Linked DNA regions of Notamacropus eugenii. Each later gene encodes a partner of the first gene's protein in a complex. Links are inferred from orthologs where the notes say so. Each region holds a gene or a part of one and is shown on either strand. Other genes may lie near its edges.

The links.
Region 2: SART1 (region 1) and PPIH share a complex: the UniProt entries of both Homo sapiens proteins name them as parts of the U4/U6-U5 tri-snRNP complex. The link is inferred for Notamacropus eugenii from reciprocal best matches to the Homo sapiens genes SART1 and PPIH.
Region 3: SART1 (region 1) and TXNL4A share a complex: the UniProt entries of both Homo sapiens proteins name them as parts of the U4/U6-U5 tri-snRNP complex. The link is inferred for Notamacropus eugenii from reciprocal best matches to the Homo sapiens genes SART1 and TXNL4A.
Region 4: SART1 (region 1) and PRPF4 share a complex: the UniProt entries of both Homo sapiens proteins name them as parts of the U4/U6-U5 tri-snRNP complex. The link is inferred for Notamacropus eugenii from reciprocal best matches to the Homo sapiens genes SART1 and PRPF4.

What each region holds. Positions count from the first base shown.
Region 1 is NC_092873.1:18,651,228-18,659,210, forward strand, and holds the start of SART1 (U4/U6.U5 tri-snRNP-associated protein 1), read left to right. Parts: upstream 1-4,971; 5' UTR 4,972-5,613; coding exon 5,614-5,956; intron 5,957-7,662; coding exon 7,663-7,720; intron 7,721-7,932; coding exon 7,933-7,983. UniProt on the Homo sapiens protein: Plays a role in mRNA splicing as a component of the U4/U6-U5 tri-snRNP, one of the building blocks of the spliceosome. May also bind to DNA.
Region 2 is NC_092876.1:74,540,775-74,548,541, reverse strand, and holds the start of PPIH (peptidyl-prolyl cis-trans isomerase H), read left to right. Parts: upstream 1-4,758; 5' UTR 4,759-4,886; coding exon 4,887-4,952; intron 4,953-5,405; coding exon 5,406-5,470; intron 5,471-7,188; coding exon 7,189-7,212; intron 7,213-7,505; coding exon 7,506-7,550; intron 7,551-7,636; coding exon 7,637-7,679; intron 7,680-7,767. UniProt on the Homo sapiens protein: PPIase that catalyzes the cis-trans isomerization of proline imidic peptide bonds in oligopeptides and may therefore assist protein folding. Participates in pre-mRNA splicing.
Region 3 is NC_092875.1:200,531,228-200,538,504, reverse strand, and holds the start of TXNL4A (thioredoxin-like protein 4A), read right to left. Parts: upstream 3,016-7,277; 5' UTR 2,778-3,015; intron 2,633-2,777; exon of another isoform or gene 2,157-2,632; intron 1,604-2,156; 5' UTR 1,583-1,603; coding exon 1,430-1,582; intron 1,329-1,429; exon of another isoform or gene 1,288-1,328; coding exon of another isoform or gene 1,264-1,287; intron 1-1,263. UniProt on the Homo sapiens protein: Plays a role in pre-mRNA splicing as component of the U5 snRNP and U4/U6-U5 tri-snRNP complexes that are involved in spliceosome assembly, and as component of the precatalytic spliceosome (spliceosome B complex).
Region 4 is NC_092872.1:478,475,137-478,483,008, forward strand, and holds the start of PRPF4 (U4/U6 small nuclear ribonucleoprotein Prp4), read right to left. Parts: upstream 3,010-7,872; 5' UTR 2,911-3,009; coding exon 2,884-2,910; intron 1,503-2,883; coding exon 1,319-1,502; intron 1-1,318. Other genes in the region: anaphase-promoting complex subunit CDC26, read left to right, coding at 4,779-4,859. UniProt on the Homo sapiens protein: Plays a role in pre-mRNA splicing as component of the U4/U6-U5 tri-snRNP complex that is involved in spliceosome assembly, and as component of the precatalytic spliceosome (spliceosome B complex).

The DNA.
Region 1 (7,983 bases):
AAGAAGGAACCACACACCTAATGGATCCCAGAACATGGTTGGCATTATGGGTGTATGAAAATAGCAGTCAGGAAGACCTGGGTTCAGATCTCACTTCAGACAGTAGCTCTATGAGTTTGGGTAAATCACCCCAGATTTCTTATATCAGTTAGACTTGAAGTCCTCTGTGGTCCCCTTTGAGCTCAAAGCCTATGATCTGAAGTGAAGGTCCTTGACCAGCCAGCAGGATCAAGGACGGCTTCTTGAGGGAGGCCATCTGACTTGGCCTTAAAAGGTCAGAGTTCTCCTTGACCCTTCATCAGGCAAAGAAGTAGGCTGGGCTGGTGGTCAGCACAGGAACATACAGACAATAAGGAGGGTGTAGAGATGAGATCTTGCAGACCCAGTAGGACCATGTAGACTAAACTTATTCTTTTTCTAAGGAGGAAACAGCGGCCCAGAGAAGTCAAGTGACTTGTCCAAAGGCCCCAGCAAGAAATACGGTAATATCGATGCTCAGAACCCTTTAGGCCTCAAAAAAAGCTCCACTTTGTGAGCTCTGTGATCTCAGTCAAGTCACTTAACTTTTTTGGGTCTCAGTTTCCTCATCTGTAACATCATGGGGTTAGACTGGATGGAGTTCCTTCCTGCTATAAATTTCTGAGCCTATGACACAGATTGTCACCAACCACACAATCTGGGTCTTAGGGTTCCAAACGCAAGCTATGTTCACAATGTATTTTTCATTTATTTTTATTTCTAAATTCTCTTCTCTCACCCATTGAGAAGTATTTATACGTCACACAAAACATATGTCCACATGTCCTACTCATAACGTATTAATTATGCTACTGATGGTTGGCAGTATTGACCTTCACTAACCTCTTCCTCCAATGCCTAAATCTGGGCAGGGGGTAAAGTTGGCTAAGCTGCAATTATGATAGGGCACTGAGATTTTGTCATCTGGCTCTGAATTTAGCATTCCCACAGCACTTGCAGGGAGCCCATCAGTAAGTTACCACAGAATTTCATTAACAAAAAATGATTGAAACAAGATTCCAGATGGTAGGATGTCTCTAACCCTCCCTGCACTAAGGGCAGACTTCATGAAGCTGGTTCTAAGTAGTGCTTAGCTCTCATCAGTACATCCACTGGCCAATTCTGCCAAGCTGGGAAGTGTCAGACTTCATCGTTGGTGAAAGGAGCAGTCCCAGAAGGTTCTGAGTAGAGGTGGGATCTTGGGCCAATTTGGCCATAGGACCATGAATTTCCTTTCTTGGGTACCAGAAGAACAAATCTTCCAGCACTGGCCAACACAAGAAATACCTAACATGCAGTCATAATTTCTACCAACCCTCAGAGGAAGCTCTTAAGAGGGTTTATGTAAAAAATAAAGCAATGGTTATTAAGTTCATGCTGGGAATGTTTAAATGTTCATTGATCTGGGTATTCTCTTCAACAATACAGAAGGTAGCCTGTCCATCCCAGGCAACACATTTTGTCCAGATCCTCCCAAAAGTTCACCACAAGGGGTCCATCCAGCACAGTAAAAAACCTTCCAGTGGCCTAGCCATACCAGATCTAAAACTGTATTATAAAGCAGCAATCATTCAAACTACTTGGTACTGGCTAAGAAACAGTGGTGGATCAGTTGGAATAGGTTAGGTGCACAAGGCACAGTAGTGAATGACTAGTAATCTACTGTTTGTTAAACCCAAAGACTTCAGCTTCTGGGATAAGAATTCATTATTTGACAAAAAACTGCTGGGAAAACTGGAAAATAGTACAGAGAAACTAGGCATAAAACCAAGATCTTACACTGTATACCAAGAAAAGGTCAAAATCAATACATGATTTAGATAGAAAGGGTGACATCACAAGCAAATTACTAGAGTAAAGAATAGTTTACCTTTCAGATTTATGGAGAAGGGAAGAATTTATGACCAAATGAGATAGGAGAACATTATGAAATACAAAATGGATAATTTTGATTACATTAAATTAAAAAGGTTTTGCACAAAATCAATACAACCAAGATTAGAAGTGAAACAGAAAGCTGGGAAATGATTTTTATAGCCAGTGTCTCTGTTAAGATCTCATTTCTAAAATATGTAGATAACTGAGTCAAATTTATAAGAATACAAATCATTCCCCAATTGACAAATGGTCAAAGGATTTGCACAAATAGTTTTCAGATGAAGAAAATGTTCTAAACCACTATTGATTAGAGAAATGCAAATTAAAACAACTGAGATAACACCTCACAACTATCAGATTGGCTAATATGATGAAAAAGGAAAACATAATAAATGCTGGAGAAAATTGGAACACTAATGCATTGTTGATGGAGCTGTGAACCGATCTAACCATTCTGGAGAGCCATTCGGAACTATGCCCAAAGGACTAAAAAAAATGTGCATACCCTCTGATCCAGCAATATATCCCAAAGAGATCATTAAAAAGGGAAAAGGACCCACATGTACAAAAATATAACAGCTCTTTTTGTGGTGGCAAAGAACTGGAAATGGATGCCCATCTACTGGGAAATGGCTGAACAAGTTGTGGTATGTGAATGTAAAGGAATACTATTGTTCGGCAGATTTCAGAAAAACTCGGAGTTAGATAAACTGATGCTATATGAAGTGAAAAGAACTGGAACCTTGTACACTGTCACAGCAACGCTGTGCGATGACCAACTTTAATAGGCTTATTTTTTCTCAGCAATGCGATGAATCTAAGAGAACTCCAAAAGACTCATGATGGAAAATGTTATTATTCACATCCAGAGAAAGAACTATGGCATCTGAATGCATATCAAAATATAGGATTTTCTCTCTTTTTTGTGGTTTTTTCTCTTTTGTTCTGATTCCTTTTTCACAACATGACCAATGTGGAAATATGTTTAATATGATTGTACATGCATGACCTATATCAGATTGCATGCAGTCTTGTGGAGGGGGAAAGAGTGGGAGGGAGAAAAAGAACTCGAATTCTTCTAAGATTGAATGTTGAAAACTTTCTTTACATGTAACTGGAAGAAGTACAGTACTATTAAGTGGGTGGAAAAAAATGAAAACCTTCCATCCAGTGGAAGGTATCCCTCATATACCTGTCATCTGTCATGTAATTCTTTGATGTCCTTTACCACTGTTACTTGGGATCCCTTGTTGGTTAGATGTCACCTGCCTGCTTGTGCCTACCATGTGCTCTTCTGGTGCCCCTGATGTGATACTAATGTTTAGTTCTTCAAAGACAATGGGCTTTCAGGTCTTGTTGTGATACAGCAGCATTGGTCCAATGTTAAAAAGACTGACCCTTTGCTATTATGGGAACCAATCAGTTGGTAAAAGAACCTTGCAATTTCCCAAAAGCAATCTAATTTTCCTTTTTCTTTTCAAATCTGGATCTAGCTCATGGTGCATTTATTGTTTATCTCAGAAATACATCCTGTTGGTCAAGCCCTGTAGATTGCCAATCCAGATGTATGTCAAAATCTGAGCAATACCCTGTCTTCGCCTACTTGATCTTTCCTGGATGAGCGAACAGATCAAATTCTTCTAGATAGTTAAAAGATCTCTTCCAGGAGATTCTGCAAAGTCTTTGGTTCGATGCAATCAACATGTCACTCTCAAACAGGAATGTCAAAAGGACCTCACCATTCCAAAGGACTCTTTGTGGATCAACATCAGGAAGGCAAATATTTGAGGCAAGAACACATCTGCCTATTTTATGCCACACTGGGTGTTTCTGACCAGAGAGCCACTGAATAGGGTTATTTCTGTTGATGCATCTTAGAATCTTGAATGAGCTTAATGTAGAGATAGGATACACCTAGTTAAACAGTAGCCTGTAGGGGAGGTAGGGGGGTCCAGGAAGCTTTTACTCCAGTGGAATTCTAGTGGAATGCTTTTTTTAAATCAATGAACACAAGGGAAGTTTATAATCCCTTACCACTGTATTGCCTCCACAGCAGCTCTCCTTTCTCTCTCTATACATATGTGTGTCTATATATAAGAAAAGAATGTTTTATTCATTTTTGCAAATCTTTTCTCTTTTCCCTCTCTCTGTGGTCTTCTTTCCACTTTCATTTTTTAATTCCCTCAGTATGACTTTGCTCAGTTGGAAATCTTGCCAAGCTTTCTTTAGACTGGTTTTACCCTCCACTGCTATCTCTGTCTGCTTCATGAGACAATTCTGCTCATTCACCATCATCCTCTGTAAGATTTTACAAACGAGTTTATATTCTAGACATGTATTGCCTTCCCAAGGTATTTGTTTGGCAAATAAGTCCAGTGTTTTCTAAGATGTTTCTTGGCTCCCTCGGTCTCCTTGTTTCTAGCAATTAATTTACATTGGTTTAACTTCTGACTTGAAGTCAATAGACCCTGTAGGACATTCATGTTTCATTTTTTGATTTTTCACAAACTCAGGGTTTTAAATAATTCAGACTTTTCAACCACTCGAGGGTTAAATCTTAAGTATTTTTTCATCTCTATTCTCCCCTGTGGAGATCGAGCTGAGCCAGCAGGTGGGGGGCTGGCACTGCAGGGTACAGAGAGACTGGATGAGTGGTCTTGTTGAGGTCTGGGAACCATGAGGTTTGGGGTGCTGGGGACCCCAAAATACCAATACGCCAGGTCCCATCGAATGAATTTAACGCAAGACTTCTTCTAGCCAAAGTAAAACAAAGTTTATTAAAGGTTCACCGTATGGGTGACATCAGTATTGACAAGTGGGCCAGAGAGAATCTGAGCTACAAAGCTGGAGCCGGATTGAATCTGAGCGCCTTCATGGAGGCGAGATGGAACTTATGTACAGAAAGACCATGGGCAAGATCTGAGGAGGATCTTGATGAGACTGGGGTAACTAGGGAAGTAGTCAAGGGTGGCACCAGCTGGAGGCACGTGGGTGGCAAGTAATCAAGGATGGAGGAGGCGAGGTTAAGGGTAACGGATCAAGTGTGGCACCGGGATGGCTGCCGGGTCCAGGCGCCACGCTTCCCTCCATGCTCCCCGCTGCCAGCCCGCCTCTCTGTGCCCAGGCTGTATTCCGGGCTCCACGTGCTGGGCAGCAGAGCGGGCAGGGGCGTTCTCACACTGGCCACTACCCAGTAGCTGAGACAGGGAGGATTCACAGAGATGTAACTGAACCCGTTGGATCCGCAGGGCAAGCCCACAGGAGAAGGAGAGGGGATGGGGGCTGCCAGGGTGCAGAAGCAGGAGCCAAGGGGGTAAGGAGAACCTCGCACGCGCCCAACCTATCCCGAGCTGCGCATGCGTGCCCATCCCCCTTCCAGGCGCCATGCTTCAGCCACACAAAGGGTCCTTGCTCAGGCAGCCTGAGATTTGGCGCAGCCGCAGGCCCAGCCTGGCGCATGCGCCTCTCGGCCCGGATGCGTTGGGAGGGGGAAAGAAGAGAGGCGCCACGGCGAAAGCGCAGTGACGAGCGGGCGCCGGAAGCCTCGGGCCTGATTTCCCGTCGGGCGTTGGGCCAGAGGACCAGAGCACAACGGAAACGGCGCCTACTGGTTTCCGGCAACAGCCGCCGAGGGGCGGCCCGTAACCCGGAAGAGCTCGCATTCCGCGTCAGGGCCGGCGGTGACGGCGGCCGGGGTTCGGTGGGAGCGGAGCCGCCATGGGCTCCTCGAAGAAGCACCGCGGGGAGAAGGAGGCGGCGGCGGGGGCCGGAGCGGGGGCAGCAGGGAGCTCGGGCCCGGGCACAGCCGAGCAGGCGCCCCGGCATCGCGAGCATAAGAAGCACAAACATCGCAGCGGGGGCGGCGGCAGCGGGAGCGGCGGGGGCGGAGCCAGCGAGCGGCGCAAGCGCAGCCGGGAGCGCGGGGCCGAGAGGGGGAGCAGCCGCCGCGGGGGCGAGACCGAGGCCCGTAACGGGAGCGCGCACGGGCGCGAGCGCAGCCAGGCAGAGCCTGCGGAGCGGAGAGTGAAGCGAGAGAAGCGCGATGACGGCTACGAAGCTGGTGAGCGCGAGGCCCGAGGGGCGGGGCTTGAGGGAGGCGGGGCCAATGAACAGCCGGGGGCGGGGCCTTCCCTCCTGAGTGGGCCAGTAAGGGAGCGCAGCCGAGGTGGGGGTGGAGCTTGAGGGGCAGGGTCGGGAGTGTAAGCCCTGGGCCGGATCTTTCCCCACTCCCATTAAGTCTAGGATCTGCAGGGACCCGCGCAGACAGGTGGGGAAACTGAGGCACAGCTGTGGTTCGAGGTCGCGGATCCTGGGGCCGAGGGAGCGTAACTACCACTGACCTGCGCTAATGGGGGGGGGGGCTCCGTCGGTAAGGTGCCTCCTGGGTGCGGAGACTGCAACCAAGGCGGGCCCCGCGCTGGAGGAGCTTACAGTCTGGCAGGGGCGACGACATCACTGACTAGGGGAGGCTTCCGGGGGAAGTCGGGCTGGGGACAGCCAGAGAGAATGTCCAGAGCCCGGGGGGAGCCCCTGGACCTGGAGGGGAAGGGAGCTGCGGCCCAGGCCGTGGGTCGTGGGTGTGAGTTGCCCAAAGAAGGGAATTGCATTAGATGATGTTAAAGATCCCTTCCAGCTCTGAGTCTGGGGAGCCGCGTCATGTGACGCCAAATCTGGGTGTGTTTCTGCTGACTCTGTACCGTCAATGTTTGTCCTGGGCCCTGGCTGAGACACGGCTCCTGCCCTCATAGAGCTCAAGTTCATTAGGGGATGAAACCCAAAACTTTGATGATCCTGTGAATGCAGCAAGCATGAAGGTCAGAGGGGAAAGGTTATCAACAACCAGGAGAGTGTTCTTAGAGAAATAAGACGTTCAAGTCTGATTTTAAAGGAGGAGCAGGAATTCAGGAAGGGAAAGTATTGGGAATCACCAAGGCCTGAAGGTGGGGAGCCTGGAAATGTACAGGGATGATGAGTAGTTCACTTCAGCTGGAGAACAGGGTGTGGGTAAGACAAGATGCAAAAGTGGACCATTCCCAGCTGGATGAGGGCCTCATATACCAAGGAAATAACTTCACCCTTGACTCCATGTTCTACCAGGAGCTATTGGAGGGTTTAGACTCAAGCAGTAATACCTTGCTCTTACTTACCTTAGATTTACAAAATGTTTTCCTCCACAACTCAGGTAGAGAGAATTAGCACCATTTTACATGTGAAGAAGTCAGAGCTCAGGAAGATTAGAGTGGTTTGCCAGAGGCCAGAGTGGGGTTAGGGCTGGGAGAGCTGAAAGTGAAATGGGCTACTGCAGTGGGCTTCCTGCTTAGTTATAGACTGGACTGGAGGTCCCTTCCAGATGTGAGATACTTTGATTCTAAGTGGTCTGCCAAACTCTCTATCTATAAAACAGAAATCTGTTTTATGCTTCTCAAGCAGGGCTTGAGATTGGCAGATTTGGAGGGATAATGAAACATTTGTAGCCCCTGACTCTTAACTTGTCCTCTCCCAACCAATACAAGGAAGTGCCTTCCCAGGACTTCAGGGAAGGTATGATAATTCCTGCAGAGGAAAAGCTGGCTTGTGGAGCTAAAGAAGTTTTTCCCAGCAAGGGTTGGCCAGGGAAGTAAACACAGTCTTCTTGTCTACACCAGGTGTTGTCTGGGGCTTAGAACTCCTGAGTTCTGGGCTTCCAGATGTTAATTCTTTGAACTGTGGTCAGGATGCCCTCAAAGCAGCACAGAGGGAGCCTGACCCTTGTCTTTCTCGTTCTAGCCACTGGCTCCAAGGCCAGCTCTGGAGATGCCTCATCTCTCAGCATTGAGGAGACCAAGTGAGTGATGGGAAGGCTTAGTTCCCCAATGCCCTCTGACCTCTTCCAGCATAGTGTTCTGCTAATGGACCTAAGGAGGCCTTGTTACCGATCCTTCCAAATGAGTGCTGAGTAGCATCTCTCCCCAGTTCCTTCTCTTTAGTCCATCCAGAATTTAGTTGCCCCATGTTTCCTGAGAGCCTCATAACCGTAGCTATCTCTTTTGTTCTCAGTAAACTCCGAGCCAAGTTGGGCCTCAAACCTTTGGAGATCAGTGCTGTCAA
Region 2 (7,767 bases), on another chromosome or scaffold:
GGAAGAAAGTAAGGGGCAATGATGCTGAAAATATATGTTGGTTGAAGCCTGATTGTGCAGGGTTTTAAAAACTAAACAGTTTATATTTGATCCTAGAGGAAATATCAAACCACTGGAGCTGATTAAGAGAGTCACATGGTCAGATGTGTGCTTAAGGACTGAATCAGTGAGAAATTTGAGACAGTGACACTAATAACAATAGCTAGCCTTTACATAGCATTTAAGGTTTGCAGAGCCATTTTGTAGACAATATGTGCAAATATGTTATTTCATTTGATCCTCTCAAACAACAACCCTTGAAGTAGGTGCTATAATTATCCCCATTTTACAGACGGGGGGAAGTGGACTGAGGTTTAAATGACTTGCTACTAAGTGTCTGAGGCTAGATTTGAACTCTAGCCAATCAATCAATCAATGAACAAATCTTCATGACTCCAGGTGCAGCACTCTATCTACTGTGCCATGTAGCAGCTTTGGTAAAGGAGGATAAGGACCAAGAGAAGGCTATTAGATTTGGCAATTAAGAGGTCATACTTTGTAAAGAGTATTTTCAATTGAGTGATGAAGTCAGAAGCAGTGTGTAAAGCACTGAGGAGAAAAAAGTCAAACAAGGATTTCTTGTGTTTACTTTTTGCCAGTCACTGAGCTAAGCCCTGGGAATATATTGAAAGGCAAACGTCAGTCTCTGCCCTCAGGAGCTCAAAATCTAATAGGGGAGAGAAAAAAAAAATTATGTACCACCAAACTATATACAGGATAACTAGGAAATAGTTAACAGAGAGAAGGCTAGAATTAAGAGGGGCAGGAAAACACTTCCTCTAGAACAGGGCTTCTTAAACTTTTTCTACTTGTGACCCCTTTTCAGTTTTGGCAGCAGGGTGTGTTGGCATTGCATAGTTGGAGGGCATGCACAGTACAAAGTGCGCATGCTTTGTGTTCGGAAACAAGGTTGGATGCAATATGGGCAAGCACTCCCAGAAACACCTCTAATTCATTACGAGTTTGATTTTGAATTAATTTTTGGTCATTGTGCATTTAGAAACCTTTTACTGCTGCCAAGTTTTTCACAACCCCATATGGGGTCATGACCCACAGTTTAAGAAGCACTGCATTTGAAAAAAATATTTTAGCTGAGATTTGAAGCTAGGGAAACCTGTAGGCAGAGAGATGGATGCCAGGCATGAGGGGATAGCCAGAGAAGACATCCAGAGCTGAGAGATGGAGTAACTTGTTCATACAATAGCAAGGAGCCCAGTGTCACTAGACTGAAGAATATGTAGTGGGGAGTAAGGTGTAAGAAGACTGGAAAGGTAGGAGAAGGCACATATAACAAGCTTTGAATAATAAACAGAGAATTTTGTATTTGATCTTGGAGGTAATAAGGAATCACTGGAGTTTATTAAGTAGGGAGTGGGACCTGAGCTTTAGGAAAATCACTTTGGTGGCTGAATGGAAGATGGATAGGAGTGGGGAGAAACTTGAGGCAGAAGAATCAAGTATAAGACAAGTTTTTCAAGGAGTTTGGCTTAGAAAGGGAGGAGAGATAGGGTCTAAGGAAAGTTTTTATAGGTAGAGGATCCTTGGGAGTTTTTGAAAACAGTAGGGAAAGAAACAGGTAAATACTGAGAAATGGAAGGTTACAGAAAGAGAGGAGATACAATATGCTGGAGAAAATGGGGTCAAATATACATCCAGTTCTGCTATAATGTGACACATGCATTTTTTAAAAATCACCATAATATGCAAAGTCATGCAACAAAACCCACAAGACTTATGGGGGAACTGAGATTAGAAATAAAACACTCAAAAACTTTATCAGTGACATAAAAACATTTATAAAAATAGAAAAGTTTGATATATTTAAAAATAATTAAGAAACACAAATACTATGATAAATAGTGTGTGTGACCTTGGGCTGCTGTTCAGTCTGCACCTTGGTTCCCACTGGACACAGGCTGGCAAAGTCAATGGCTATGGCCCAAGAGAATGGCTTGAAAGGATGAAATTTCAGATATGAGGGGTCAGCAGAAGATGGAGGGGAGTAGGGATAGAGTTTAGATCAGTCCCTACTGCACCAAAAGCGTACAATAAATACGACACTTTGCCTTGAAAAAGACCTGGTTTGCTAGAGGAAGTGAGCATCAGAAAGGTTTTTGTTTGTGTATTATTGTGAAGTGGTATAGTTTTCTGCATTCTGTTTCTCATGGATAAAATTGCATATAAGTAAAATTGAAAGCTCAAATTTTTCCCTAATATATCAATTATATTTTAACAAATTTGAATTTTCAAAACAAAGGTTGCAACAGAACTGACCGTACACAAAAATGATTGACCTTGGCAAGAAGGACCATTTCTTTGTCAGAGTTATGGGGGGATACAAGAAAGGATGGAAAACGGTATCATAGTGTTTTAAGATGAAGAGAATATGAGAAGAGGGCTCTCATATCAAATCACCTCCTTATTCTTAGTAGAGGCAAGGTCCTTAACTCAGAAAGGATGAGGACCGCCTTGCTGAAATGAGGACCTAGTTTAGATTGGATAATCTAAATTGGTAACATACCCAGAAAGCACAGTTTTGGCTTCCTGGTGACCAAGAGCAGAGGAGGCAGAAAGTGGAAGTAATCCAGGGCTGTGGTTTGGCAAAAGAAGAGGAATATGACAAGGAGACCAGGGAAAGAGAGAAAGAGAGAGAGACTAGAATTGATTATCATACGTAACTCAAATTCCAATCAAGCTGTGTTAGAAAAGAGCACCTTTTTGTTACATGCTTCCTGTAGAATGTGATTCTGGACTGGTAGAGGGAATGCTAATGCAATCCCCCATGATTTTTTTGAGGGGCAGATTTGTTTTGACAGTTTTGGAGAGGAGTAACAGTCTTCATCCTTTTAGGGAAAACAAGTGGGGTTCCAAACACTCTTTGAGACCAATATCAGACAGGAAAAAGAAAAAAGATGTTGGAAGCAGCAAAGATGTAGGAGAAGCTGACTTTTCAACATGTCCCTGATTTCCAAATTGTATCTTTACAGACTTCAGGGCATTTCCTGTGGAGTGAGATCAGAGCCTCTCACTTGATGAAACTAAGATATCATCTCATCCAAAGAGGTCATTTACTCTTGTGCCTTTTCTGGAATATTCTAATCTGTGTAATATATGCAATTTCCATTTCCTATTTGCTTGGATCAGTAGGTTTACTCATTATTTGCTATTTGCGATAGTCTTTCATGTAGCTCTAGCATTTGGTGGGAAGGAATCAAGTCAAGAGGTTTGCGCCTGGGGTGCCTTTCCTCTTTTACAGGGGAAACACCAGGAAAGCTAGCACTTCAGTAGTTTTTGTTAGAGACACTCTTGACACTAATAAGATATCAAGTAAAATTTATTGCAGCAGAGTTCAGAGGAATTGATCATTCTGGCCAAAGCAGGCCCCCTCCCTCTTTTCAGGAAGAGAGAATGCTGAATACAGAAGGGAGATGAGCTATACAATTTTAGTTCAAGACAGATCCTCCCACCAGGAGATGGATTGGTCAGTCCTCCATTAGGTCACCATCTTCTCTACATGCCCATTGTGTAACCTCCCTTAGTATGACCTCCCCTCCCAAACATGCTCTATAGGACCCATGATCAGAAATTGGAGGGATAATTTTATGTGGGGTGTGTCTGCTTATATGCATGAAGTTCATTAAGCAAGTACATTGAAGAAAAGGCTTCTCCAGGTAACTCTAGGTGATTTTTCTTGGTTAGTTCCAGCTAGCTGTAGATTTGGTTCCATTGTCAAAAACTTTGTAATTTTCTGAAGGCCACTGTTGGTCTTTTCATTGGCTGAGTCCACCTGCAGTCCGCTGGCCTTCTTATTATCTAACTTATTCTCAATGACTTCATCAATTAACAATAACTTATTGTGAAAACTTAACTTTCGCTGTCTCATACTTTGGAGCCTAAAAAATAGGGCTCCAGACCAATAATATTTAGTGGGACATATAGATAAATTCTATTGCAGTATCTCTCAGTCAGTCAATATGCATTTATTAATTGCCTCTGTCTCAGGGAAGAACAATGCAGCCAACTTCCTGGCCCCTTCTCTTGCTCTCCTCTAAGAGAAAGGAATGGTCTCTCTTGAAGAGGCATATATGCAAGATCCCAGAGCTATCCATGGTCCTGTCTCTCCTTATCTATACATTGAGACATCCCCCGTCAATATATGTGATAGATCTTAAGATACATAGCATGCTTCTTCAGTATAGAACTGTGGATCATCTGCATACATAACTGAAATGTGAAATGAGGTTACCAAGAGATCATATGAGAGCAAAACGGGGGTTGTAAGCCTCTTGTACACAGGGTCCCCGGATCCTGGTAAGAACTGTGGCTCCAGGCCCCTCTAATGCACCTACCCACGTGATACACAACCAAACTCAGCATCTCTGTTGTTATTTCAATGGCCTCCAAACAGGAGACGCCGGCAAACCTCCAGTGCCGCCGCCCACAGCCGCAGGCACATGCCAGGGGCTTCATTTTAAGGGGTGGTCGTGTGCACTGCACACAGTGGTCTGGTAATAAATGTTTTATGAGTTTATTTTAAGGTTTGAGAAAGCATATGTGTGAGGGTGGGACGGAGGAAAAAACCAAGATGGCAGTAGCGGTTCGGACCATCACAAAGGAAATGGGAGACACGTGTACAGCGTTTGGCTGTCCTAGCTCCTGGGTCCCCGTGGCCACTGGCCCACCGGGCCTCCGTAGCTCCGCCCCTTCCCGCAGACGCCAGGCCCAGCCCGACCTCGGCCTAGGGGGCGGAGCCCGGCGTTCAGGCTCCAGCACGTCTGCGCCGCTGCCGGACCGACTCAGCGACCTCGGGAGCCCCGCCGGCCGGCTTCCGCTTCCGTGTCAGGATCATGGCCGTGGCAAATTCAAGCCCCGTCAACCCCATCGTCTTCTTCGACGTTAGCATCGGTGGCCAGGTGGGACGGGCATGGATCCAGGCAGTGCAGGATGACTGGGGAAAGGGCTGAAGGCGACTGCTGCCCGCTGCTCCGGGAGCACGGGGGGAGCAGTGGAACCCCGCGAACCACATGGCGAAGGGGGTGAAGTCTGAAAAGTGGGCGGGATCCATGTGTCCGGAAGATGGGGGGGAATGGGCGGGACCATGGGCTGGACCAAAAGACTCTAGGATGGGGGGAGAGCGGGCGGGACCAAACGGCTCGGAAATGGGGGGTAGCGAGCGGGACAAGGAACAAAGAGAAGGGTCAGAATCCAGGATGGGTCAGACTGACCGGGACCTAGACCCTGGAGCCTGGGCAGAATGCATTGGCAGAACCAAATATGGAGGTGGGGGGACCATGGGACGGGGAATAACGGGAGGGACATGATGAGATGACGTCACCGACACGCCCTGGCACTGCCCCGCCCTGCAGGAAGTTGGCCGAATGAAGATTGAACTCTTTGCGGACATCGTGCCCAAGACCGCGGAGAATTTCAGGTCCGGGAATTGCCCCCCCACCCCCGTCCCCGAGGGCGTGGGGAGGTGGGGGAGGGAAGGAGACTTAGCCCACGTGTCTGTGCCAGCGTCCGTCCGTCCGTCTGTAGCATCTTTCTTCCCTACAGTCTGATTTGTTTTGCCCGTATCCTACTTTAGAGCATAAGCCCAGTAGTGGGGTTTCTGGGTCAAAGGGTAACAGCCTTTCTTGCATAATTCCAAATAAGTTGGGTCAACTCACGGTTTTATTCCATCCTTATATTTTTCCATATTTGCCCATTGTTATCCGTCTCTCTTTTGTCTTCCTCTGCATTCTTTTGATCCTTAGTAATTTGGGGCAGTTTTTCAGATGATGTGTTGATGACATATATCTTTGAAAACTGGCACATAGTAAGCATTTAATCAGTGCTATCTTTCCATCTACTTATTTTTATCCCATGATCGCAAGTCTCTTGGAGTCATAGGTATGTGACTTCATAATCTTAGAGATTTCCCTTAAGATTATGATTCCAGAGTCTTGATGACTTAATATTAGGAGGTTTGCAGTAATTCTCTATAGATTTTGGATGTTAGATTCTCATAAGATAGGTTTAATGAAAATATTTTTCTCATTCATATCTTTTCCTTTTTTTCTAGTTGCATTATTTTTGTTTTATAGTTGAAATTGTATGTTTTATTTTATATAAATATAAAAAAATATAGTATTTTAATATAATTTTATATTTGTCTTATATAAAATAAAAATAAAATATATATAGTTTTATATTTTTAATTTTATAGTTGAAATTGTATGTCTTGTTTTATTGCAGCTGGTTGATTAAAGATTGATTCTTTAATCCACATTGTGGAAGATGACCTTCCATGGCCCTCTAATTTCTTTTTTGGGGCAACATTTTATATTTAGATTGTTTTTTAGAATCATGTTTTTGACTTGAAAGAAACTTCTGGGACCATATGTTCCCACCCCCTCATTTTGCAGATGTGCCTTATCTCCACGGAGGTTTTGTGCCTTTGGTAATAAGTGTCTGAGACAGAATTTGAACACAGGTCTTCTGACTTGAGAACCAATGATCTTTCCTACCAGACTGCTATCCTGTTTTCTCAGTGTTTCCTATCAAATAAAGAGTCCAGTAATTTGTGTACCTTGGGCTTGTCAAACATTGGATGCTGTGCTGATCTGATTCTAGGTTTTGCTAGCTAAGATTATTCATCATTCTAATTTTTTATATTTTTTAGCACCACGTAGTTTTGATGGTTACACTGCTTTGTGTAACATAACTTGAGACCACTTTATACCAAACACCCTTCACTCCTACTTCTTTCCATTTTCCTCGAAGGTGGTGTTTTTTGTTTTGTTTTGTTCTTGAGGTGGGGGAGATCATCTGTCTGCTTGTCTGCCTGTCTTACTGTTCCCAGTATCTGGGGGTAGGGAGGGAAGAGCAGAATCCCTATTGTTGTGTACCTGTCTCTAATGTTTGTGATTATTTTGTTTCTGTCATCTCTGTGTATATGGTGGCCTGTAAACAGTGTCAGGTTGTACGTGCGCGCGTGCACACACACACAGACGCACACACACTTCCCTGTATGTGTATGAGCATGTGGGAACCTCTGTTTACAGATGGCTGGGGTATCTCCCTTACCCAACCCCTAGGTCAAGGTTTCTCTTTTCTATCATTTCTCAGTATGTATGGTTTGGCAGATAATATTTTTCTTTCTTTCAGGCAGTTCTGCACAGGAGAATTCAGGTTAGTCTAGAAATTGCTTATTTCCCTTAGGCATGGCTTGGGTGGGAGCCACCTGCCCAAAGCTGGAGTCAGTACCCTTGGGAAGCTTCCATCAAGGCCTAGGGAAGCTGCTGGGATCAGGGATGCAGGCGCACTTCTTCTCTGTCACTCTTCTCTTTTAGTCAATCACCCTATCTTCCTACTTCTCCAGAGGCAATTTGGGGAGGGGTCTTTCTCCACCTCAGGGGTGCTTTACAGAGGGGCCTGGGATTGCCTGTGGTCCCTCCATTTCTCATCTTTCTCCTTGGTTGTAGGAAAGATGGAGTCCCTATCGGATACAAGGGAAGCACTTTTCACAGGTAAGGTTTGGGGCTTCCAGGGACACCTTCCTGTGTGTCATGAGTCACTTTCTCCTTTCTGATATCTTTGTCTGTCCTGTTTTTAGGGTTATAAAAGATTTCATGATCCAAGGAGGAGACTTTGTAAATGTAGGTACTGTGTAAGTTTGTCTTGTTCCAGCTTTGCCAGAGTTTTGCTTTACCCCCTCTGATTCACTATCTGATTTACTAGAGAAGA
Region 3 (7,277 bases), on another chromosome or scaffold:
CTGTGCCACCTAGCAGCAGCCACCCTGCATATATATATATACATATATACACAAACAAATACACACATATATATGCATGCATGTATGTATGGAGATATATATACGTATATATATCTACATCTATTTACAGTTATATATATTTGTGTTAGTGTTTCTTATTAACACTATGGAAGACTTGAAAGAAAAACCATGTTTACAAAAGTGAGATATGACATTAGTCAATTTCATCTCAATAATTTATCATCATCATTATAACAACATCTGCAAACACAACTTCTTGACACTAAATGATTATTCCTACCACAGCCTCCAGAAATCTGTGCCAAAAGTTTACCACCCAACAACACAGTGATATCCCAGATTAATATTATTGCTGTCGGCAAAACAGAACACTGAGAAACAGTACTCTGGTTTAGACAACACAAGTCTAAGGTTTTATTTTCAAATGGAGGAAAATATCAATTCAGAGGAAAATATCAATTAGCTCATACATGAATACCAAAGAGCACAAAACAATATTAAAGACACTAATTTCAAGATTATAGCATGCTCTATGTAGGTGCATTTAACACATGTCTCAGAAAATTTAAAATATAGGTACTAAAAACCAAATTTAAGCATATATAGAGTAGAGCTTCTAGGATACTGAAGGAGAATTTCGCCTCTAAAAATAAGGCATAACACTCCTGGAATATCCACTGAAAATTTAGACTGGCTATTTTAGGCTAATGTTTTCTTCTAAGTCAAATTAACTAATTTTCACAACTGTAGCTGTTAACAGTCACAAAAATAGGCTAATGCTGAAAGTAGCAAAAAGCAGAAGGCAGTAAGACCCTTAAATCAAGAAAGCATGAATCAAAAACACTCACTGATTATTCTCTGTGCAGGAAGCCTGTGCTACAGATGCTTTTTTATTTACCATTTATTATCATTCTGATTCATTTCAATCTTGAATGATGGGGTAAGTAAATCTTGAAAAATCTTGAAAAATACCTTAAGTATCTAACCTTATGTATTGGTATACTAAGAAGCAAATCAATTCAAAATTTTGGATGAAAATATGAAATGTGGCTTTTAATCCTAAATCATATACATAATTCATTTCCTCAGTTCAAGGCAAAAAAGAGTATAACCTAATTAATGATTTCAATTACAAGTCATAGCAGTGTGCAAGAATGGAAAGAGAACAGAGAATTAGGAGTTCTAGGTTCAAGTCCTGCCTCCATCCCCATATAGCCATATGACCCTTTATAGTCACTTTACCTCTCTGGGTCTCCATTTTTTCATCTGTAATATGAAGATAATACTTGTTCTGCCTATTTCATGGGCTGTTAGGAGGATCAAAGGAGAAAAAGGACATCAAAGGGCTTTGTAAACAAACAAACATGAGGGATCATGGCATTAAAAGTACTACTCAAATAAGGTTTACCTTTTCTGCAATACTATATAAAACTTCATCCATTTTCATACAAGTAGGGTCCCAATCATGTCCAAACCTAATAACAACAACTCGGTCCTCTTCTGAAAGAATCGCTTGATCCACCTGCCAACCATTGTGCAAATGTGGAAGCATGTACGACATCCTGAACAGTCAGTCTGAGTCCTGTGGAGGAGAATTCACTTATCAGAAAGCATGCTTTCTTATCGTGCATCCCATTGCTTCTAACATTAAGAAATAATCCTGGCAACGGCAGACGATTAACACTTCAACACAGACTAGGGAGAATCGAAACACTCCCCAAGGCCCCTCACCGTCCCAACCGCGCCTACAACTCTACCGCTACAAGCTATACTCCTCCACACGCCAAGGAAGACCCTCCTCCTCCTCCTTCCACTCGAGGCCCACAGTCTAAGAAGCCCCTACAGAAGACTAAAAGGCAAACCAACTCAACATTTTGGGTCTTCATGGAAGACGCTGGCTTTTAATACCAGGTCATCCACTTTCCTCATTTCCTTAATTCAAGGGAAAACATAAACGTTTAAGAATCGAATTAAGGAGCTCAATGATGGGTGGCAGCAGCGTACAGTAACGGGGAAAGCAAGGGAAAACGAGGGGCTGCGAGTCCCACTCTGGCCCGCGCCCCTCCGTGTCCGCGGGGTCCTGCACAAGTCGTTTTACTTCTCTGCACTCAAGGCCTTGGCAGCCTCGGACTGACCTCCGGGGGGTCGCTAATTCATTCACACCACGGGGGAGGTCGCTCCCACTGCAGCTTTTCTGAGTCTGCCCTGCTGTCTAAGGGGGGCCGCGGCCGTGCACCCCGGCGCTAAGGACAAGGGCTGCGGCGGCATCCGTCACCGACCTCGGCCACGCGAGACCTCAGGGGCCGGCGGCGGACAACACGCTCCCGTCCGGGCCGCCAAACCGAGGCCGCGCGTGCCCAGAGGGCTACACCGGAGCCGAGCCTCGGAGAGCGAGGCGAAGCGAGAGAAGAAAAGGGCTCACAGCCGCAGCGGGGCCGGGTCCTGACGAAAGGAGGTGACGCACAAACCTGCCGGCAAAGAGAGAAGATCCAGCTCCGGGAACCGCCGGTGGAACCGCTGGCCCGACGTCTTCTCCGCCCCTAACGCGTCACACGTATGTGCGTAAGAGCGCAGAGCGTGCGCGCCCCCGGCCCAGTTGGGGGAACGCGCTCCCTGTAGGGCGCGCGCGCGCGTGCTTAGACCCGGGCGGATCGCTCTGCAGCTCCATCTCCAGCCTTATCTGAGCTAGCGTGGTTGCGCCGGTTCCTATCTATCCAAAGGGACAGAATGATGGATCAAATCCTCTAGGAGCTTACCTTTCATTAACGCTGTAAGGTTTGCAGAGCACTTCCCCCCCATATCAATCACGTCCCCCGCTGAATGAACAAGCGCCTACTTTGTGACCCTGCGCCAAGGACTGGGACGGTAGATCAGCAGTCCTTCAGGAGCTCCATTTCTACAGGGCAAGTCAGCGGTCAGATGCCTCTACACACGCCTTAGGTGCAGTGTAAAAGGAAGCAACCTCAGGGGGAAGGCCCTGCCAGCCGGAAAGAGAGAGGTGACCTCTGAGAATCCGAGGGGGCGCAAGCGAGGAGCGAGACCCCGGATCGATCAGAGCGCTACCTCCAGCGTCTTAGTGATCTTCTCAGCAACCGTGGTCCAACAGTGAGGCCCATAATGAAAGTATCACCCTCATTTTACAGAGGAGAACGTTTGGGGGTAGGTCAGCGGAGCAAGACGCGAATGACTGTCACTGACATGTAGAAAGAAGAGCTGGGTGAGGAGTGTGGGAAACAAATCAGGAGACTGGCGTAGGGAAGGGATGAGGACCGCGACAGGGGACTTCACTTATCCAGACATCCAGTTAATCAATAACCATTTACTAAGTGCCTACTGTGTGCCCAGCACTGTGCTAGGTGCAAAGGATAAAGCAAAAAGCAAAAGACAGTCCCTACCCTCAAAGAGCTCGAAGTCTGATGGGGAAGACAACATGCAAATACATACAAGCTATATACAGAATGAATAGGAGGTAATTATAGGAAAGGCTTCCTGTGAAAGGTGTGGTTTTGGTTGTAACTGGAAGGAAGCCGGGAAGCCAAAAGATAGAGAGAAGAGGAGGTAGAGCATTCCAGCGCACAGAGACAGCCAGAGAAAATGCCCAGCTGAAAAACTGAGCATCTTCTTTGTAGGAGAGCAAAAAGATCGGTGTCGTTGGGTCAAAGTGATGTGGGAGTCGGAGGGTGTTAAGTGTAAGAACTAAGTAAGAAGACTGGAAGGTAGATGGGGAGGTCTGTGTTTTGAACAGCTTTGAATGCCAAACCAAGGATTTTATATTTCATGAGGGAAGTGGGATGAGACACTGTTGTTCATTGAGTGCATGGGTGACATGGTTGGACAGTTCCACTGGTTAGAACTTTCTCTCTCTCTCTCCCTCCCTCCTTCCTTCCCTCCCTCCCTCCCTCCCTCTCTTTCTCTCTCTGTCTGTCTCTCTCTGTCTTTCTCTGTCTCTCTGTCTCTCGATGACAAAAGCAGAGCAGCTAAAGATCGCTTGTTTTTGCTTAGTGGTAATTTCTTCCTTCTAAAGGTAAAGAAACCAACGGGGAGAAATTCTATTTTGAATTTGATTCTCACTAACCACAAGGAATTGTTTGCTAGAGTAAAAATAATGAGATCCCTGGGGGAAAGTTACCACTTTTTCCTACAGTTTGTGATAGAGGAGAGGAAATACATCAATCTGACTTGCACTTTAGGTGTTTGAGAAATCAGGTTCAAAGGATTCACAAGAAAGATAGATAGAATCCCATGGACTAAAATGCTATAGAAATAGTCAGCCCGGGGGAATGGGAGTTACTCAAAAACAAAGAGAAACTCCTCATAAAAAGGAAAAAGATATGTAGAGAAAGAAAACCGAAACAGGACAGGTAATGGAGGATGAATATAAAGCAATGTGGTCCTAAAAATAATACGGAGTATCCCAAAAGACAATGCAGTTTTGAGCTTGAATTTAATTTAATAATAATAAATTTTAATTTAATTTAATAATTTAGTGGTTCAATTATTAAACCACTAATTATAAAATAATAATTAAAGGTTTAATTTTAATTTAATATTTAAACTTAAAACTACACTAAGACTTTTTGGGATATCCTATATGGTTAGGAATGCAAAAACTCAGAAAGAGCTGAGGCTAAAAAGCTAAGGACAAAGAAAAGGTTTGGGTTTTTGTTTTGTTTTGAATTAGTATTCATACTATATTGGGAGAAGACTAACTATATTTCCCTCCATCCTATCCTGCCCCCCATTTATTCTAGTCTCTCTTTTGACCTTGTCCCTCCCCAAGAGTGTTGACTTCTAATTGATCCCTCCTCCCATTGCCCTCCTTTCCATTATCTCCCCTGCTGTGCTTATCCCCTTCTCCCCCACTTTCCTGTGTTGTAAGATAGGTTTTCATACCAAAATGAGTGTGCATTTTATTCCTTCCTTAGTCAAATGTGATGAGAGTAAACTTCATGTTTTCCCTCTCACCTCCCCCCTTTTTCCCTCCATTGAAAAGTTTTTCTCTTGCCTCTTCTATGAGAAATAATTTGCCCCATTCCATTTCTCCCTTTCTCCTCCCATTATATTCCTCTCTCACCCCTTAATTTTATTTTTTTAGATTTGATCCCTTCCTATTCAACTCACCCTGTGCTTTCTGTCTCTCTCTCTCTCTCTCTCTCTCTCTCTCTCTCTCTCTGTGCGTTTGTGTGTGTGTGTGTGTGTGTGTGTGTCTAATCCCACCAACTACCCAGATACTGAAAAAAATTTCAAGAGTTACAAATATTGTCTTTCCGTGTAGGAAAGTAAACAATTCAACTTTAGTAAGTCCCTTATGATTTCTCCTTCCTATTTACCTTTTCATGCTTCTCTTGATTCTTGTGTCTGAAAGTCAGATTTTCTTTTTAGCTCTGATCTTTTCATCAAGAATGCCTGAAAGTCCTCTATTTCATTGAAAGACCAATTTTTCCCCTGAAGTATTATACTCAGTTTTGCTGAGTAGGTGATTCTTGGTTTTGGTCCTCGTTCCTTTGACTTCTGGAATATCCTGTGCCATGCCCTTTGATCTCTTAATGTAGAAGCTGCTAGATCTTGTGTTATCCTGATTGTATTTCCACAATATTTGAATTATTTCTTTCTAGCTGCTTGCAATATTTTCTCCTTGACCAGGAAACTCTGGAATTTGGCTACAATGTTCCTAGGAGTTTCTCTTTTTGGATCTCTTTCAGGAGGTGATTGGTGGATTCTTTCAATATTTATTTTGTCCTCTGGTTCTAGAATATCAGAGCAGTTTTCCTTGATAATTTCATGAGAGATGATGTCTAGGCTCTTTTTTGATCAAGGCTTTCAGGTAGTCCCATAATTTTTAAATTGTCTCTTCTGGATCTATTTTCCAGGTCAGTTGTTTTTCCAATGAGATATTTCACATTATCTTCCATTTTCTCTTTCTTTTGGTTTTGTTTTGTGATTTCTTGGTTTCTCATAAAGTCATTAGCCTCCATCTGTTCCATTCTAATTTTGAAAGAACTATTTTCTTCAGTGAGCTTTTGAACCTCCTTTTCCATTTGGCTAATTCTGCTTTTTAAAGCATTCTTCTCCTCATTGACTTGTTGAACCTCTTTTGCCAATTGAGTTAGCCTATTTTTAAAGGTGCTATTTTCTTCAGCATTTTTTTGGGTTTCCTTTCACAAGTTGTTGACTTGCTTTTCATGCTTTTCTTGCATCTCTCTCAATTCTCTTCCCAATTTTTCCTCTACCTCTCTTACTTGATTTTCAAAATCCTTTTTGAGCTCTTCCATGGCCTGAGCCCATTGCATATTTATTTTGGATGTTTGGGATGCAGAAGCCTTGACTTTTATTTCTTTCCCTGATGGTAAGCATTGTTCTTCCTCATCTGAAAAGATAGGAGAAGATATCTGTTCAGCAAGAAAGTAACCTTCTATAGTCTTATTTTTTTCCCCTTTTTTGGGCATTTTCCCAACCAGTTACTTGACTTTTGGGTCCTTTGTCAAGATAGGCTATACTCTGGAGATCTGTAAGATCTCAGTTCCTCCAAGGTGGCACAATCAAGTGTGTGCACTGGTCTGGGAGCAACAAGAGACTTTTTTGCCCAGAATCTGTGAGTAGTTCAGTTTTCTCTCCACAACCACCTGGCCTCCAGTTCTACCAAGCCAGCACTGGGGGCTAAGATTCAGATAAGCTGCTCAATTCCCCTGGGGCTTTAGGTGGGGGCAGGGCTGCCATACAGGGCTGAGGTACGGATCAACTTTTCAGTTCCCCCAGGGGCTTTACAATTCAACAATGGATGCAGGTTGCTGTGGAAGCTGGTGCCACTGATGTGGCCTCTGCCGCTGACACCTGAGGCCAGAGCTATGGGAAGACCCTGCTCCCTTCTCAGCCAGCTGAAAAAACCCTCTCACTGACCTTTGTTGCCTGTGGGTTGAGGGATCTACAAACTGCCACTACTGCCACTGGGGATTCTGCCCCTGAGGCCTGCTTGGGTCTTCCTCCCATCACGCAGCCAAGGCTAAGCTGGGCTCCACTCCGTATTTAGTGCGACAGACCTTTCCTGTTGGCCTTTCACGTCACCCTGGGCTGGAAATTTCCTCCCCTCTGTTGTTCTGTGGCTTCTCCTGCTCTAGAATTTGTTGAGAGTCTTTCTTTACAGATATTTTATGGGCTGTGGGGGAAGAGATAGTGTATGTGCACCTTTCTACTCTGCCATCTTGGCTCTGCCCCCCCCAATTTCCAGATTAAAGGTGAATCCTGAAGTGCTCCCAGAG
Region 4 (7,872 bases), on another chromosome or scaffold:
AAGGTTTTTAAATACACAAAATGAAATATACAACAGAAATCAACTACAACAAACTACAGTGATCTAGACACAGACTGGGGCAGCTAGGTGGCTAAGCAGATAGATGCTGGGCCTAGAGTCAGGAAGACCTGAGTTCAAACCCAGCCCCAGATACTTATTAGCTGTGTGACCTTGGGCAAGTCACTTAACCCTGTTTGTCTCAGTTACCTGAATTGTAAAATGAGTTGGGGAAGGAAGTGTCTTTGCCCAAAAAAACCCCAAATGGGGTCATGAAGACTCAGATACAACTGAAATGACTGAACAACAAAATAAAGGATTGTCCCAAAACTCTTAGTGCATTTTAAAAGTTTTAACTTTTAAAAAAGCAAAAAACAAGTTTACAGACAGGATCAGGTTAAAAAAAAACTGTTTTTAAAACTAGAATCAATACTAGGGAGTCTTGGCTAAGCTGCAGTGGCTTAGCTGTTCAGATGTAGTATAGGGAAACGATCAAATAAAAACTTTGGAAAAGAAAAAAAGCAAAAGAAATAAACATGACCACAATGGCTCAAAACAGTAATATCAGGACCATGTTAAACTTGTTCTTTGAAGAAGCAGAATATGATTCTATGAACTTACTCTGAGTGACTTTCTAGTACAAATACTCATAATTCATAGGAACAGTCCTACCAAAAAGATGTGGGGAAGAAAAAGGTGTCTGAGAAGACACAAGATGAGAAGAATGACTACTTTTAAGTGCATACTACATTAGGCACTATGGTAAATACAAGGCCAAAACAATCTGTTCAGCAAGTTTGTTTTTAACTTCTTTGTATATATTTGTATTTATTCACTTTAAATTTATGAAATATATAAATACATGTATACGTATATGTGTATATATACAAACATACAGCCATTAAGGCTTGTATTTGTTGCCTAACTGTAGGGAATGCTACATTCTTTGCACTCACATGTTTAGTGTGTGGCACAGTACCTGACACATTGTAAGGATTGGTTTAGTACCTTCAAGGAATTTAAAATCTAGTAGAATTTACAACCATATGACAGACTAATGTAATACAAATTAGACTATTAATCCCCAAGAATGTAAAGGCCCATGGATATGAGGCAGGCAAAGTAAAACTTAGTCTCAGAGATACCATTTATAAATCACGCTTCCATAAAGAGAAGTTCAAGGAGAGACTATAGTTGATAATGCAAAACTTATTTTAATCAAGGCCCAAAGTAAAAGGAGAAAATATTCAAACCTAGAAAACCCGTACTTAAGACCAGGCAGAACAGGCAACACAAAAGATTAGTCCAAAACTAGTCTTACCAGAAGTTATATTAATATTTCCAGCCTCAATTCCAGCTTTAATTCCTTCTTTCCCCAACATCCCTGACTCCCCTCTTGCAATACGTTCCTTCTCCTTCTCTTCCAAACTGCCATAATAGATATGAGGCTTCTTCACCACAGGGGAGGCAGTGTCTTCAGGAGTCCTACTGGGGGTTTTGGTTGCCTATAAAATCAAAAAGTAGAGTTAACCTAGAGTTGGAGCAACCTTCGGAACTGCCTGAAGTGTTAATTCTGAAACCAAATGCTATTCCTGGATCTGCAGAAATAAGCACAGCACCAGTTGGAACTTTCCCCACTCAGATAAGGTAGTAATTGTTTTAGTGCATCCCTCACATGAGAGCATGTTCGGGACAAGAAACGTGTGGGATGAAACTAATGAACTCCATCTTTTTCTGAGTGATTTCCCAATCAATAGGTTACTTTGATACTGCTTATTAAGATGTAAGACCTCTGGGGACAGGTGCAATCTATCTTGGAGAAATGAGTGTTCATTTACGTTATCAATAGCATACTGAGCTTGCTATCCATTCAATGTCCTTTTAGAGTCATTTAGATAATAAAGGACCTGAAATAAATTTAAGCAGTGAATTTAAAGGGAAACATAATGAGAAAATTTACCTCTGGTTAAACCAAAGAAAATTCTAAATTGGGGTCTATGTTTTTTCAACTCTGAAGTACACTACAATCTCTATAGAACTTTCTAGATTTCAATGCATTTATACATGCATAATCTTATTTCATCTTCCCAAAAATCCTACGAAGGGAAAAGATCAGGGATTATCACCTTTTTAAATACAATTTTGGAGTTTTAGAGTCTACATCATCTAGTCCATCCCTTTTGCAGATACAGGAAATCTCCTCTGTAACATCCCTGACCAGCAGTCATTCAAATTGTGCTCAAACACTTCCAAGTGAAGGTGAAGTCACCATCTGTCACAGAAGCCTTTTCCACAACTTTGTTAAGTCCCTCCCCAATCCTGAACTAACAACTGCTTCCTTGTAACTCTCCTTTTGGAGATGACAAACTAGGGTTCAGCGATCTGTCTGGGATCTGGACAAAGCTAGGACTAAAACCCAATGACAGAACACGATGCTGAAAAAGTCTAAGTTAGCATCTCATCTAGATTTCTCTCTTTACAGAAGGAAACTGGGGCCAGGAATTAACAGGCTTAACCAAATTCGTGTAGAGCTGGGAAGTCCGATCTCCCACCTTGAGTCCAGGGCAACTTTTTATTACCACACTGTCTCTTTTAGAACTCCAACTCCCCCCCTCCCCCCCCCCCCCCCCCCCCCCGCCGCCGCGTTGACTTCAAACCCCAGCTGTGGCCCCAGTTCCGTCGGGGTGGGAGGGGAGGCCAGTTCCCTTCGGAGGGGCGGCAGAGTCAGGAGTCAGGAACTCGGCGAGTCCATCCCCCTGCCTCTGCACCAACCCACCCATCATCTCCCTGAGCGCGGGTTCAGTGGAAGGGCAGAAGCCAATTCCGGCTCCCCTACACGTGGGGAGAACTCCCAAGGATCCCTAAACACCAAGGCCAGAGCCGCACCGTAGCCGAAGCTCGAGAAGAAGCCATGTTGTGGTAAGAATTTCAATCGCAGACCACCACGGCCGCTGACCCCCACCGCCGGAGGACTCACTCCACGCTCAGGGGACCGGAAATTTCGAAACGTGTCGGAAATAGAACATAACCGGAACTAAACGGAGTCCGGAAGCCCGGGGAGGCGCGGAGCAGGCCGGGGATTGTAGTCTTCGTCTAGGGGCTTCTGTTGCAACCTGAGGGAATGAAGCGCGGAGCACTCTGGGAGAGGTAGTCAGCAGCGACGGATAAGGAAGGGGCCACGCGGCATGTCGGGAGATGCAGTCCTTGCGGTCAAGCCTACAGAAGATTGGTAGGTGGCTGGAAAGGCGGAGTGGAACAGGCTGGAGGCGGTAGGGGTCCGAGAAGTCGGTTTCGCCCCGGGACTGGGCTAAACCAAGCTGAGCTGAGCCGCGCCGCGCTGGGGGGAGGTGGGTGTTGGGCCATGAGGGCTGCTTCGAGCTGAGGACCTAGTTCCTGGGGCGAGGCGGGCGGAAAGGGAAGGGGACGTGAGCCGGGAGGAAGGAGCTGGCCGCCGGCGGGCAGGCTTCGGCTTCCCTGCTGCTCGGTCCGCTGGCCTGCCTCTCTGTAGTCATGGAAACGACGGCTCCAGCCTCAACCACAACCTCCCTCTCCCTTCACAGTCTGATTCCACTGACCTTAGAGGGGAAATGGGTCAACTCTCGTTTTACAGATGGCGAAACTAAGGGCCACGGAGTAGACCAGGTTCAAGGCAGGGTGGCATCCTCCATCCCCTCCCCTTCCCCACCCCACGTTAAGGAGGTAGGGGAAATACCTAGATATAGATGATGGGGAATAAGAACCACTCAGAAATTGCCTACTGTATTTATATTCGGTTGATGCGCTGAACCTAGTGCTCCGTCCATCTCAGATCCCCTGCCGTTCATCTTGGTTCCAGGATTGAAGTGGGTCTGGAGAGTGTGGTGGGTATGCCCAGAATCCTAAAATACGGTGGGAAAGCATATGCTGGCATGCATACTCATTGAGGGACTCCGGTCCATTGTTCTTCATTACCGAAGAGAGGGATGTTAAATCAATGCTAATAGTTGGGGAGGTTAACACTGCTAAATAGGAATCTGTTACAGGGGAGGGGAAAAGGATATTCAGAAATAACAACATGAAAAACACCAGTAAAACTTTTTAAGTCTATGAAAAGCCAAAAAAAAAAAGGTTTATTAAAATTCAGATCATTAAATGGTGCTAAAAAAAATGACCCTAGCATTATTGATTTCCTCTGTAATCATTTTAATGGTTACAAAGCGTAATCCTCTGTAAACATTTTAGCATAAATCTGCGCAATTGTTTATTTCTGTTTTTTGTTCCTTGAAAAAGTTTGCATCAAGTCATTATATAGTTATGAATCAAAGAGACTTTTCCTTAGAATTAGGAAGTCAACCACTGTGTGATTCATTTGAAAATGAAATCTTAACTTGACTTTTGCCAGTGGTCACAAATCCCTAAAAACCCAGGCAAAGGGTATTAAAGTGATTGTCACTATCCATTTTGTAAATGGTAATTCATTTTGAATTAAGGAAAGTTATTTTTAACTGTCTGTATAAACTTGTACATTTCTCTGAATGTGGCTGAAGTACTACTGGATTAAAGTGGATTGTACATCTTTTGGTTTCTATGTGTTTCACAGGCAGCTATTTTTGAATGGCTGTGAAATCAGAGTCATTGAGGCTTCCTGACAGCTCAGGAGGTTGTGTGTACGTTTAGGGTATCGTTGTTTGCTTGCAGAAAATCCATCCCCACCAGAGTATGCTTCTTGTAGAGCCTCTTCCTTCTCCCTAAATTTTGACAGTTTGGTGGATTTGGCTTGGACGTGTTGAACTGTTACCAGGATGCTCCGACGAAAACCCACTCGCCTGGAGTTGAAGCTAGATGACATTGAGGAATTCGAGAGTATCCGGAAGGATCTGGAGGTGAGTGTGGTCACGTCTGTTATTTTATGGAGTGGGTATTTTAGGATGTGTTATCTTAGTCTAAAGTATTCTGTCTAGAAACCTATTTCATTTGGGAGAGGAACGTTGAAGATTGAGTTTTTAGTGTAGATGTGTACACATCATTACTTAGAAGAACCTTGATTTGAAGGTCACTTCATATCAAAATAAGCATTTTCATATGGAACTATGCATGTTTAAATTTCAATTAAACTCAGTCTTTTTATATTAGGGAGCAAGCAAGGCAAGCCATACATTGTGAACTTTTAACCACTTCATCTTGCATATGATAGTGAATATGAATGGGTTTTTTAAAAATGTATTTTAAAAGTTAAATGGGCTGCTAGATATTGCAGGGAATAGAGGGCAGGGCTTGGAATCAGAAAGACTTGAGTGCAAATGCAGCCTCAGATACTCGCTTGACTCTGGGCAAGTTATTTAACCCTTTTACTCAGTTTCTTCATCTGTAAAATGAGCTGGAGAAGGAAAATGCAAACCACTCCAGTATCCCCAAGAGATCATAAAAATGGGAAAGGGTCCCACATGTACAAAAATATTTATAGCAGCCCTCTTTGTGGTGGCCAAAAACTGGAAATCAAGGGGAGGCCCGTCAATTGGGGAATGGCTGAATAAATTGTGGCATATGAATGTAATGGAATACTATTGCGCTATAAGAAATGATGAACAGGAAGACTTCAGAGAGGCCTGGAAAGACTTATATGATCTGATGCTGAGTGAAAGGAGCAGAACCAGGAGAACTCTGTACACAGCAACAACCACAGTCTATGAGGATTTTTTCTGGTAGACTTAGTACTTCATTGCAATGCAAGGATTTAAAAAATTCCCAGTGGTCTCTTAAGGCAAAATGCCTTCCACATCCAGAGAAAGAACTATGGAATTCGATTGCAGAATGTAGCAGATCATTTTCTTTTGTATTACGTTTTGGTTTGTTTTATGATTCCTCCCATTCATTTTAATTCTTCTATGCAACATGAGTAAGGTGAAAATGTATTTAATAGGAATGTATGTGTAGAACCTATATAAAACTGTATGCCATCTCAGGGAGGGAGAGGGGTGGTAGAGGGTAAGGGAGGAGGGAGGGGAAAAAATCTAAGATACATTGGAAGTGATTGTAGAACACTGAAAACAAATAAAATAATAATAAAAAATAAAAATATATTTGTTTATTTTTTAAACAGGCAGCCCCCTCTGGAGCTGAAAAATTGTAGGTCTTGGATTTTAAAAGGCTGGGGATTCTGGTCAGATAAAGACCTTGATTTATTTCAAATCAGTAAAGCCTGCCTGATTTATACATAGGTTCAGTTTGGATTACATTTGAGAGTATTTGAACTTTGCCCTTGATGATCTAATTTGCATTTGAACCAAGTTCCTTTCAGCTGTGCTCAATATCATTGCCACTGGTTAACCTTTGATGTACATTGTTATGTGAGTGCTGTACTACATGAAAGAAAGTATATTTCTGAGTCTTCTAGTAGTTATCAAGTCAATAAACATCTATTAAGCTCTTTAAAAAAAAACCAAAACCCTAAATGGGTCATGAAGAGTTGGACACAACTGAAAATGACAACAAAACTAAACAAGACTGAGCAACAAAAAAGTTTGAACATCTATTATTAAAATTATATTTATTTATATTAAGTTATATTAATTATAGCTATTATTAAAATGTTTTATGAACTGGCTTTCATTTCCTCCTAAAAACTATAGCTTGCTTTCAACATCATAATTTTTTAACTTTTAAAAAAATGCACAAGGAGTGTAACCTGGGCCTATGATGTGTCATCATCCTTGATACCTCAGTTACATTAAGGGCTTTCATTATGAGCCCTACTGGGGATGCACCTGATCTACCTGTTGCTGACTGTGCGTATTGGGTATAAAGAAAGGTTGCAGACTCCATGGGTCCTGAGGAAAGCCAGAGAACTTAGGTGGACCAGAGACTACAGTTTGGGAGTTCACAGGAGAGCCACAAGCATCAGATTGAAGAACCAGGAGTGGCTCACAAACTTTGGGCAGAGGGCAGAGGAAAGCTTCTGGACTTGTAGGAATCGTGAGTCCAAACGCACTTTGTGGAGGAGAATGATGGATTTGGGGCCAGAAAGAACAGAGCTTTTGAAGACTTTTCTTCAAAAACAGACTTTTCTGGTGCCTGAACAGACCAGGAAGCCAGGTTTCTCAGAACCTAGGAGCCAAGATTCTGAACCTCTCTACCCTCTTTTGGTTTCCTCATTGGGAGCTTTGTATACTAATGAAATTACTTGTGGAGTCCAACCCTCCCCCCAACCCATCTCTACTCAGCCTCCAAGTTCTTTTCTGAGGATAAGCCTCGGGGCAGTTGGAAGCTTTGATGGTAATGAATCTTAGCCAGCATAATGAACTTCGGCTTTGCCAAACACCAACGTTAAGGCACTAGTGCCACTAATAGAGTTAACACACAGATTTGGCCCAGCCAGCAAGACAGGTAGACATTACAAGAAAATTCAGCTAGCTTAGAACATAAGGTTTGATACTGAAGTCAAGTTGGTGCACTGCCACATTTCCAGATTAAGAACACATCAGGCTTTTTGGATGACTATTCCCTAGGGCTGAACTGGTATCCATAGATAGACTTTAGTCATTAACTTAGGTGTTTGTACAGCAAAAGTTCAATTTGAGAAGGTATGTGGAGGGATGGTGGTGATAGAGGAATACTACCCAGAAAGACTCATGTGATTTCATTTAGCAATTTTCTTTTTTTCTTTTTCTATATACATATTTCGTATTCATTTTTTTTTATTAAAAGGTCTTTCCCAAAGTGGCATAATGCAGAAAAATAGATTTATGGTTTAGGATTCTCATATTCTCAAATCCTTTGAAGTATACCCTTAGTTCATTTTTTTCCCTCCAAATTTATTTATTTGTTTTAAATTTTCAACAATCACTTCCATAAGTTTTCTTATTTTCTCCCCCCTCTCCCTCAGATGGCTTGCAATCT